2 linked regions of the Caenorhabditis elegans genome follow. The protein of the gene in region 1 purifies or fractionates together with the protein of each later gene. This does not show direct contact. Each region holds a gene or a part of one and is shown on either strand. Other genes may lie near its edges. The genes, in order: nfx-1 and R07B7.6.

The links.
Region 2: the proteins of nfx-1 (region 1) and R07B7.6 fractionate together in Caenorhabditis elegans (co-fractionation; one large-scale study listed by BioGRID). This does not show direct contact.

What each region holds. Positions count from the first base shown.
Region 1 is NC_003281.10:6,373,383-6,379,929, reverse strand, and holds nfx-1 (Transcriptional repressor NF-X1 homolog), read right to left. Parts: upstream 4,552-6,547; 5' UTR 4,540-4,551; coding exon 4,326-4,539; intron 4,270-4,325; coding exon 3,368-4,269; intron 3,318-3,367; coding exon 2,786-3,317; intron 2,739-2,785; coding exon 1,729-2,738; intron 1,679-1,728; coding exon 1,328-1,678; intron 1,272-1,327; coding exon 921-1,271; 3' UTR 763-920; downstream 1-762. Other genes in the region: C16A3.6 (Protein MAK16 homolog), read right to left, coding at 1-27, 80-468; rps-13 (Small ribosomal subunit protein uS15), read left to right, coding at 4,949-5,077, 5,250-5,354, 5,577-5,798; thoc-2 (THO complex subunit 2), read right to left, coding at 6,158-6,379, 6,446-6,547. UniProt on the Caenorhabditis elegans protein: May play a role in transcription regulation.
Region 2 is NC_003283.11:12,072,188-12,076,944, forward strand, and holds R07B7.6 (Nucleotid_trans domain-containing protein), read right to left. Parts: upstream 2,800-4,757; 5' UTR 2,798-2,799; coding exon 2,738-2,797; intron 2,687-2,737; coding exon 2,585-2,686; intron 2,535-2,584; coding exon 2,422-2,534; intron 2,340-2,421; coding exon 1,874-2,339; intron 1,828-1,873; coding exon 1,674-1,827; intron 1,504-1,673; coding exon 1,248-1,503; intron 1,203-1,247; coding exon 1,072-1,202; intron 1,025-1,071; coding exon 909-1,024; intron 861-908; coding exon 801-860; 3' UTR 675-800; downstream 1-674.

The sequences.
Region 1 (6,547 bases):
CGTCCAATTGGAATGAGTTTCTTCTGGCTGAAAATAAATAATACTATGCAAAATTCAGTTTCTATAAGTTTAAACTTACTTTCCACGGACTGCCATTTTACGCATTCTGATCAAATATTGATGAATTCGGATGAGACGAGCTTTGCACTTGTGTCTAACATATTCACTCCAATGAAGAAGTTGATCACTGATTTGTTCCAATGCTTTGTTCATATCCTTTGACAACTTTGTCTTTTCCCATAAACGACGTGGATAGTGAGATCGTTCGACAACTTTTGCGTACAAGTAACATACTCCGTTCTCCTCACGAACTGTTGCATACTGTGAGTTAGCCAATGGACACGAAGCTCTGTTGCACAAACCAGTCAAATTCATTTCATTTTTACAGAACATTTTTGGCTTTGTCCACGCTTTGTAGGCGCATTGTCCCTTGTTGAGAATGTTCCAAGTCACATCGTCGCACTGCATTTTTACCCAGTTTCTGAAAAATTCGAATTTTTTGAGTTGTTTTTCACACGAGAATTACTTCGATAAAAGGAAAAAGAAGCAAGAATTGATTGAGAAGAACGGGCAAAAAAATTGTGAAAGAACCGAAAGTGTGCGTCTTCGCGTGGCGGTGTTTGCACACTTTGTCAGTCCCGCGTGCCTTAAGGCGCCTTCTCTCTATTTTCATCTTTCAATTAAAATTTAAAGTCTCAAACAAATATTTTCACAGGAAATAACTGGGCCACAGGAACGCAATTAAAATAATATAAACACCAGAGAATATTTATTCATTAGTTAAAACAAGCAAACCGTATTTTAAAGTATTCAAAACAATGGAAATGTACTTGAAACAAACTGTTACACCGTACAATTGAGGATATGAATAGTAACATCGAAAATTGATGTGATAGTGCATGTAAAAAATCTAATACGTTTTATTCTAGTAATTCAGCAACCGGCTCCTCTTTCGCTGGAGATTCAATAGCTGAACTGGTTTCTGTTGCTGGTGCATCTTCGTCACATTGATCTTCCCATGTGGGACCTTCATCCAGTTTTTTCGCCGCCTCAATCTCATCTTCGGTCATATCGCGTTCGACTTCAACAACATACTCTTTTTGTTGCACTTTTTGCCACCCTTCTTCCTCGTCTTTCCACCAATCTTTTGGAGGTGAAGATACTAAATTACTTGTTGTCGGAACGTTACTTTCTTCATCGTCCGAATCGACATCGCTCCCCAAAAGAGCAAATTGGTTTTGTTGTTTCAATGGGATTGGGGCAGTTATTTCCTGGAAAATAAAAATATTGAAATCTGAACAATGCCAGACAAAAATTATATATTTACCTTCATTGGACGAGCTTCTCTCCGAACTACCATTTTTTCCGTACATCTTAATGGTTTCATGAGACCTTCTGTTTCTTCTTTTTTACTCAAAGCTTGATCCATTATATCTTTTCTAATAACAGCAGGTCCTGGCGTCTTTAGAGCTCCTTTGTAGTTTACAAGATCACTAATGAGAACGAGAGGCTGATGAGATTTTCCTCGTACTGCTGTGAGAACGATACTTCTTTTTGGTGGACTGTCTACACTTTCTGAGGCGATATTGAAAAAGTTGGCGTATTCATGCACGAATCTTCTCTTCTCAATACTCATTGCTGGCAGGTGAGCTCGAAAAGTGTCGTGGTAGGCTTCACCCTGTAAAAAACTATATGTATGCCCACAATTTTAAACAAATGGTAGCTTACACTTAGAATTTGAATAACCAGATCAATGAGAATCTTTTCAACAGATTTGACGAAATCAATGTTGGTTCTAACCATCTCTTTCAGATAACAAGGGAAGGAAATAGTTGGAGCGAGTTTGTTCATTCCATATTCATCTGTATCAACTTCAAGAGCTTCAGCAACTTTTCGATTTCTTTCCAATTTCTTGCATTCGTCATCACATTTCATGCAGTTAAGTTGAGAAAAACTTGTTGAGCGCTTGAGAATTCCTTCTTTGACCACTTTCTCTTCACCATCCGATTCAGATTTTTCTTCTTCTTCCTTTTCGAGTTTTGATAGAATCATTTTATCAACTTCACAGCATGGTGCGTCCTTTTTAATTCGTCCACATTCACAAGAAATTCTCACACTTGCTTTGCATGGGCTTGGCTCACACGGAGAATCTTCGTGACATGGAAGTGCGCAAGGATGTTCGCAAAGCTCTCGGATGGTTTCACATTTTTTCGTGCATTTCTCCCCTTCTTTCTCACATTCTTCACCGTGACATGTTCTTTGGCACACATGAACTCCACATTTGAGGGGTTTTTTGCAAACCACGCCACATGAAACTGAGTCGATATGACACGGTATATTTTTGCGAACTCTATGTCCACCATAACACATTTTTTCGGTGAGCTGTGTGCATGGAGGACAGTTTTGTTCACCATGGCACTTATGAGAGACAGAATGATCACAACTGTGTGGACGGACACATGGTTGGGAGCACACTGGTAGACGAGCTCCACATGGAATCGGAGGCATTCGAACTGTGTGACCACAATGACAAAATTGCTCATCAAAACTGGCTTGCAGACACGGACGGCATTGTCCAGCGTGACATACATTCTCACATGTGTGAATTCCGCAAGAAAGTCGTTTGTTGCACATTTGCAGACAAAAATGTTCATCTTGAATACAGCAAACTTCTTGGCATTTGTGCATTCCACATGACTTCTTTTTTCGACATCTTTTTGTGCAGAGATATTCACCAGCTGAAAATATATTGGTCATAGATCAAATGAAGACATTTGAAACTCACTGGTTTTCATTATTTGCAAATATTCGTCACATGGAATGACGCCTTTAGACGTTCCACAGCGACAAATTACGGATGTATTGAGATTGCATGGAGGGCAAGGACCTTCGTGGCACTTTTCTCGACAATGATGATTCTTTCCAGGAGTTCCACAAGTTAGCCATTTGTCACAAACTGAATCACAAGTTGGAACCATGTCTGTACATTTTTTCCTAGTGACTCCAAGTGATTGAAGTGTGTTCCTTCCACATGGACACGTTCGAATTCTATTGGCTCCTGTTTCACATTCTCCACACTCCTTGTCGTGACATTTCTTCGTACAATGATGAATTCCGCACGAAAACATTCCATCACACTCTGAGCCACATGAATATTTCTCGTGTGCACACGGATTGCAGGAAACTTCTTTTGGCGTTTTGCCACAAAAACAATCTTGTTCTAGAATTACAGTACACTCTCCACAATCACCGGAATGACAAATTCTTTCGCAATTGTGTTGGCCACATGAGAGTTGCTTTCCGCAGACTGTTTCACACTGAAAACATTGAATAAAACTAAAGATACAACTAGATTTCAAAATCTCACCATGACTTCTTGGTCAGATCCGCATCTCACACTTTTTTTCGTCTTTCCACAATTGCATGATTTTGTTGTAAAAAGCTTGCATTCAATGCATGGACCAGGATGACACAGTTCAGTACACGGATGAGGACATCCGAACTTTCTTGCACCACCGCATGTCTCTCCGCAACTATGTGGAACTTCTCCAACTCGGAAATTAGGATTTCTCATACGCCCACAGAAACAATAATAATTGTAAGGCATGGTTTCGTTTTCTGTCTGGCAGGTTGGACACCTCCAAGTGTTTGCACCTTCTTTATCTCTGCTTGATCTCGCCCAATCAGTAATACATCCAGTTGAAATGTGGAAAATATGATAACAGGTTTTACAGGACCAAACTCCTTGTCTGGTTGTGATTCGAGTGTAACAAATCGCACATTCATACTTATTATTTTCCAGAAGATATACCAGACCCTCTCTGAGTGGCTTATCCGCTAAAATTTTAGTTTCTTCTTCTGTCAGCGGTTCTTCTTTTTGTTCCCGTCGACGAGCTCCTTGGCCTCTTCGGCTGTTCCCAGGATTTCGAGATGGGTTTTGCACTGACTTGTTTTGTTGATTTGCAATCCTATCCACATTCAGTTGATTTCTATTGTTCTGTCTTGATTGATTTTGTGGATGAGAATCGCCTCTTTGTTCTTGTATTTCGAGCTGACGACGCTGTGTGTTCTGCTGACCACCACGTCTTCTTCTATTTTGCGATGGCTCCTGTTGTCTGGAATTTTGATTCGAATGTGTCGAGGCACCAATCGTCGGTGGAGGCACAGATGGATCGAAGAGAACCGACTGTGCTGGGTTGAATGTCGCAGCATTGGGGTTGAAGGTGAAATTAGCTTCTGGCTGCATTTGTAAACGGCTTGCAGAGGTAGCTGAAATTTAAACAATTAGTTTAAAGCTCTTTAAAGTTATTTTTGCCTTTAATTACCTTCTTTTTGTCCTCTGCCACGTTTGTTTCCACTACCACCACGATGTCCTCCTCTCGGGTTCATCAAAGGCGCCGCATCTAGGTTATCTGCGGTATTGGCTCCTACTTGTCGAGGAGCTTGACGGAAACGACCTCCTCTTCCTCGACTTGCTCGGTGACGGGAAGAATTTGTGGATGTTGGAATACTAGATGATGTTCCTTCAGTATCGGCCATAATTACTTTAGTCTGTAATTGAAACAGATAAATTATTGGAAAAATACTTTTCTTTTATATATTTGTGAAATTTTTTTATTTGAAAACGCGAAACATTGAGAAAAGCGATGCAATGTTGTGCAATAGTTCAGATGACATGACCGACCACAAACTACACATTTGAAGGGACATTGATTTTGCCCGCGTTGTCTCACCACGCGCGTTACACACGCAAAACGAGTGTTACCGTATACAACTTTTAGGACATTTTTCTTCGCTTGCTACATTTCCATTGCAATTCATTTTAGCCAATCATAGGGCACTTTTCTTACCTTTGTTCTTTCATTAATTTTGTTAATTTCTTTAATCTTTACATTTTTACAATAAACTCGACATTTTATCATCTTCTTTCAGGTAATCCGCATCAACCATGGGTCGCATGCACAATCCAGGAAAGGGAATGGCCAAGTCGGCCATCCCATACCGCCGCTCCGTTCCATCATGGCAAAAGATGACCGCCGAGGAGGTCCAAGACCAAATCGTCAAGATGGCCAAGAAGGTTTGCAATTGATCTGAGGAGTTACTTGGTGCGATTCCGATAACTACCATATGATCATCAACTGGGCTACCATTTTTCCAAGTTTGAAAATGGGCCCAGGAAATGTGAAAACCGAGTTTTCGGTGTCCATTTCCTTTTGAAATTTACGACAGGCAGAGATTTTGTATTTTAGGGTCTTCGTCCATCCCAAATCGGAGTTATCCTCAGGGATTCCCACGGAGTTGGACAAGTCCGCCGTCTTGCCGGAAACAAGATCTTCCGCATCCTCAAGTCCAAGGTAATAATGCAATTTTTATATCAGTATACGCTCTTCAAAAGCACTGGTTATCGGACTCAGACTTGTCCATGCCAGCCGTCAAAATGAGCAATATGAAATATCCTGTTTTTGGGTGAGGTGTAACTGTATTTAGATTAGATCTCAATAACACGATGACAGTTTTCGTAGAAACTAGTAAAATTCAATCAACGTCTTTTTCTAGTTTAATTATTGTTTTTTCAGGGAATGGCTCCAGAGCTCCCAGAGGATTTGTACCATCTCGTCAAGAAGGCCGTCGCCATTCGCAAGCATCTTGAGAGATCCCGCAAGGACATTGACAGCAAGTACAGACTTATCCTCGTCGAGTCCCGTATCCACCGTTTGGCTAGATACTACAAGACCAAGCGTCAGCTTCCACCAACCTGGAAGTACGAGTCTGGAACCGCTGCTTCTCTTGTTTCATAAGCATTGTTCTGACAATAAATCGTTGTTGTTTCAAATAATTCTTTTTTGTTTTACCAGTAAATTCAAGTAAAGGGCTGTTCCCATAGATTGGAAGTCGTTCGGAAATTTGACGTTGTCTTTTGCTCACATTTAGCACTTGATCTTCGACTTTTGGATTGACTCTTCGAGCAAGCATTCTATATTCGAAATACTTCCATTGCTTTCACATTCCAAGAAGTTCAACGATCCAATGTCTTTAGATTTAATGCTAACAAAAAATAAAACGAATATTTAATAATCCATCAGGATACAATAGAAAACCTCGTAGACAACATAAACTGAGATACAATAATGAAAATCTGGGGATATGTGGTGAGAGCTCATCTAAATGTTCGATGCCCACGATCTCTTCCACTCTTTCCAGCATCACGTGCAGGCTCTGCTATTCTTGATGCCTTTGGAAGTTCTTCTTTTTTTTCTTTTCGATCATCTTTGCGATCTTTTCGAGAGGACGATGTTGATTTTGAAGGCTCCTCTAGATCAAACTCAATCGCTTTTCGAGAGCCTTTCTTGTCATCTTTCTTGGGAACTGGGTCGGGAAGCTGAAATAAATCACATTTTCGAAAGGAAAATTTTGAAAATAGCTTGAGAAAACGTTAATATCTTACCGCGGGTCCTGCCACTTCAAGCTTCTCATCGGACGGCTTGCTTTTTTGCTTCTGATCTTTGAGAATCTTTTGTTCTTTCTGGTTTTCTCCATTTTCTCGCTT
Region 2 (4,757 bases), on another chromosome or scaffold:
ACGCCAATGCTGACAGGTGGCCGACTGAAAAGAACTAACTTCGGTCTATTAGGCCGTACAATAATTTTGAGGGTTTCTAGGAACCTGAGATTTCTAGGGACCTAGGATTCATTATTGTAGTGAAATTCGATTGTTTGAATCATTGGATATTCTATTGTTCACAATTCCCCCCATTTTCTCTTCACCAGAAATCATACGTTCCTACTCGGCAAATCTATATAGATATCCTATTTTCTAGTCGGCCATCTTTTAATTATTATTTAGGGAATTATAACTTGCAATTTCTCATTTTCCAACCCACTGGGCATGCCTGTGGTGATTATCGTGGAGCACCCACGTTTCATCTCCAGTGCCGGTCCAGCGGTGAAGGGTGACACGGGTCAGATCATGAAGTACGAAAAGACCAAGGAGTTTCCTCATACCAAGAAGTTTAAAGCCATTTGCTATGGAGCTATGATGCATCCCAAACGTGCTTGCAAGCTCACAGGTAGTTTTAAATGGATCCGATTCAACACTGGCTTTTAGTACATTTAAATCCAATTTAGTTGCTTTCAGAGCAGCCCACAATGACAAAACAAAAAAGGAAAAATACTTTTTTGACAGCCTACTATAGAGCAAAGGAAATATGTATGATATATAGCCATATTTTTATCAACAAGCTTCCAAAACAAAAATTGACTTTCAAACAATTTTATGTAAAGAAATAATACTTGTAAATGACATAAATTAGAACACAATTAAATAAAAATTACACGAAGTAATTTCCCGTAACATTGGAAACCCGCATAAATCATCCAACTTTAACAATCAAACTTATTCCTGTCGTATGTCCCGTTTGCCTTTTGTTGCATTTCTCGAAACTGAAAGAAACACCTATTTCCTGTTCCATTTTTCCAGCAAAGATTTACCTGCGGAAAAGAAGTTAACCATTGGGTATTTGGCGTTTCCCCTGCAGTATTTCTTTTTATCATCTCACGCATGCAAGCAATAGTTCCGAAATCGAAAGTTGCCATAACTTTGTTTGCTGGAAAAGATAAACTTGCACATTTTTTCATAAATGTTCAGATATACCTATGACTTGTTGACTTTTAATTAGTTCATTCATGTATTCAACACCCATAATGCAAATTCCATGCCGTTTCCATTTCGAATGACATTCCTTGTCAAATCCATTAGGACCACTAAAATCCCAATGCGTCATTCTGAAATGAAACTGTTACTCCACAAAAGAAAAAAAAACCGGTTACCTTGTCAGAATATCATTGTGATTTCTAGTACAATTTGATTCCATTTGTCCTTCCAAACCAAGATAGTTTTCATAAAGTGTTTGAACAAGCATCTCGTCAACTCCATAGTAATCGTTATCATCAAATAGTTTGATGATTATATCCATATTCAATTTTTCGAACATTGATTTCACAAAGACTTTTGAGACAATGACTTCGTTTAAGCTTTTCCGAACAATTAGGTTTCTATTAAGAATTTCATTTGGCACTCCAGTTTCTGAAACAATCTAACTTTGTGTTTTTTTAAACTGAAATTGTTTCTCCAGAAAAACATCTTCTTTCACGAAAATCTTCTCTTTAATTTATTTTAATATTGAGCTTTGTTAAAGTTTTGAATATTTTTAAACATTATATAAATGTCAGTTTTGAAATATTGAAACACTTTACCAATTTTAAAAAGCTTCATCCCAGCCGGAGTCCACTTTGCTTTTGTATTGTATCTGTAGGAGAATCCATGATCAAAACCCATGATACTTGTGTAATTGAGGGATTCACTAATATCTGATAGTTGATAAGGCGTTTTGATTATCAAGTCGAAATTCTAAAAATGGAAGATGTTTTAGTAAAAATATTAATTATTAATTTACCTGAAGAATAATAGCATGATCCCATTTTCTGTCTAATATAGTTTTGAGACAATCAAAATGTGCTGGATCTTGCCCATGACCTCCACTGTTCAAACTATACTCTTTTCCAAGTACTACAACGTTTGTAAAACAACTACTCATTATTCTAACAGATTCTTTTAATCGATCAGTACTCTTTGAATCCATTACAAAACAGAAGACATTGTCTGGATGGTATGATATAGATAGTAAAGCCTCTTGAAGTTCGTAAATCTTATAAATAGTTCGTACAAAAGCGATGGGTCGTTTGAGAGGTCGAAATGATGGCATGTCTCCATATATTCGATTTTTTATTGAAGGACAATCCATTGGTAATTCAAATAATCGTTCGTTGTCAAGTTTCATTCGTCCATTATTCACATACAGCTCAATTACGTCTTTGTTGTTTTTTATCATTTCTGAGCAATTTAGAAATTGACTTTCATCGCTGAAAAATATTTGGAAATTGAAAATGTCTCGAAAGTAATGATTCATGACTTCTCTAAAATTTCAAAAACATAAACACTCACGCCGTAAAATAATTGTCCATCCATTTGGTAATATTCCTCTTTCTCGGTTTTTCTTGAGACCGAGTTCTTAGAATTGGACTGTTTTTTCCATTATCTTGTAGTGATACTCTTGCCTTAATTTAATATGGTTTAAAACATGAATTCCTTGTTTAAAAATTTATACCGGATGAGCTTGAACACTTGTGAGAAATATCATACATGCTACGAATCCAAACAACAGAATAAAACCAATTAATGTTGATTGAATAGAACGAGATTCAGGAATCTATAATTAAACTTTTCACTCCAAAGTTGAAATAAAAACTGTTTAGCTTACGGTATTAATATCCGCATCTAGATCAATGTCAGTTAATCTCTTGTATCTTGTGGCTGACATTTCTGAAAGTTTCAAAATTGTTTGAGAAGGATATGACAGTAAAACTGGAGTGTTATCAAGAGACATGATTGTGAATAAAAACTCGGGGAAAAAATGATAGAATATATTTTTAAGTCTTCAAGCTCTTGTTTTTCCCCTTTCCAAACATTTTTAGGATATTAATTTTAAAAAATTGTTTTTTTCATCCCCTTGACGTTGACAGTTAGATTGGAAACAAATAATTAGTCCCTCGCAACAAAAATACGTCAACAGCTTAAACTTATTATGTTTCACAACCGCTTGGAATAGTTGAAACTCATATTAAACTATTATTATTTGCAACAAACTTTTGTTCCGAAATACTATTGTACTCAGCTTCTCTCTTCAATATCTAACGGTCACCGTCCTGCAAGACGGTAATAAAAAAACGAACTCAGCCGCGAAAAGCTTAGAAACACAAAACGAAACAGAAACATGTACATAGATGTAAAAGCAAAACTGAAATCCATCAAATGTTAATAAAAGAGAAAAAACCAACTGAAACATCCAAGTTCCCGGAAATTGATATCATTGACGTGTGAGTGGTACATCTTTTGAAATTGAAGTAAATATTTCTAGTTTAAATTAATTTGGATTTGTAGTTATGGCGATTTGCCAAAATGGAATTTTCTCGATTTCAAGTGTTTTTTCAAGATTAAATTTAATATGTAACAAATTTACAAATTATTTTGTGATAAAAAACCAGATACTAATGTAAAAAATTAAATAAATATTAAATTATCCCGCTACCGGTAAAATGTTTATTTTCCTTATTTCTGTGATGACTATAGTCATTTCTAAAGTTACGAAATAAAGAGTGGATATGTCAGTTATTCATGCATATTTGAGTGCTTTGAAGGTTAGGAAAGCAACAATTATTGTATTTTCTCTTACTGTTTAAAACCTCTTTAGGTAAGCTTTTGAAAAAAGATTTTTTAAAAAGTAATGCTTGATTCTGAATGAGTTAAATCTAATAAAACTGCTAAAAACAAGATTCTACACAAAAGAGAAACGGAGTCAGAACAAAATGTTAGTTATCGGAATTTAATTCTTCATAAAATTTGGGAAAAGTCATAAGAAGACACTTCGGGAAACATTCGTGCAAAGAATAAAAGGAGAGTGCATTTTCAATAGTGACGAGGAAGAAACTTTTGATTTTTTAGTGATAAGCGAATGAAAAGGTGTGTCGTGAATTCATTTCAACATAAATAAAATCACGAGAAGTTTCTAATAATGAACTAACAAATTATGTGCACCTCTCGAAATGCAAAAAAATATCGGAAAACATTCTCTCTAGTTCCATCAATACTGAAGTATTTAAATTCAGAAATTTGATTGCATATCAAACATTACATCGCAGCAGAAATAGAAAATATTTCTAAAAGTGTACACTAGGCGTTATCAATGCACTCAACCTTACCTTTTCACAACAAAGACCCTTTTCATTTCCGTTGTTCTCAATGATAGAAGCATATGAGCAAAAGAGTTAGTAGCTAGGCGACGGGAGAGATATGAAAAGAGTATGAGAGAGAGCAACTACACAATTAACTAGTTTTCAGTTGTTTCTATGCTCTCAAATAACCAAAACGAACTAGATCAAGACGACTCATGGAAAAGTGATGTAGTTCTATGATGAACAAACGAAGACTTGCCGGGGAAAACGCGAGCTATGGAAATTCAACGAAAAACAAAAAAAAAATCGACTCGGCAGACTCCACGAAGAGAAACCATAGAGATATGTCACATTTTTCAAGTGTAGAAAATTTTATGAAAATAAAATGAATATAAGAATATATACAAAAGAAACGAAAAACCTCCGAAACATTTCTTCACAATACACGAAATGTTTGCCGAGTTTACAATGTTCTCCATAGATTGACTAGATTTTCAATCGTTTTTCATTGATAACTATAGATAATACAAATATCAAAAAAATTCACTT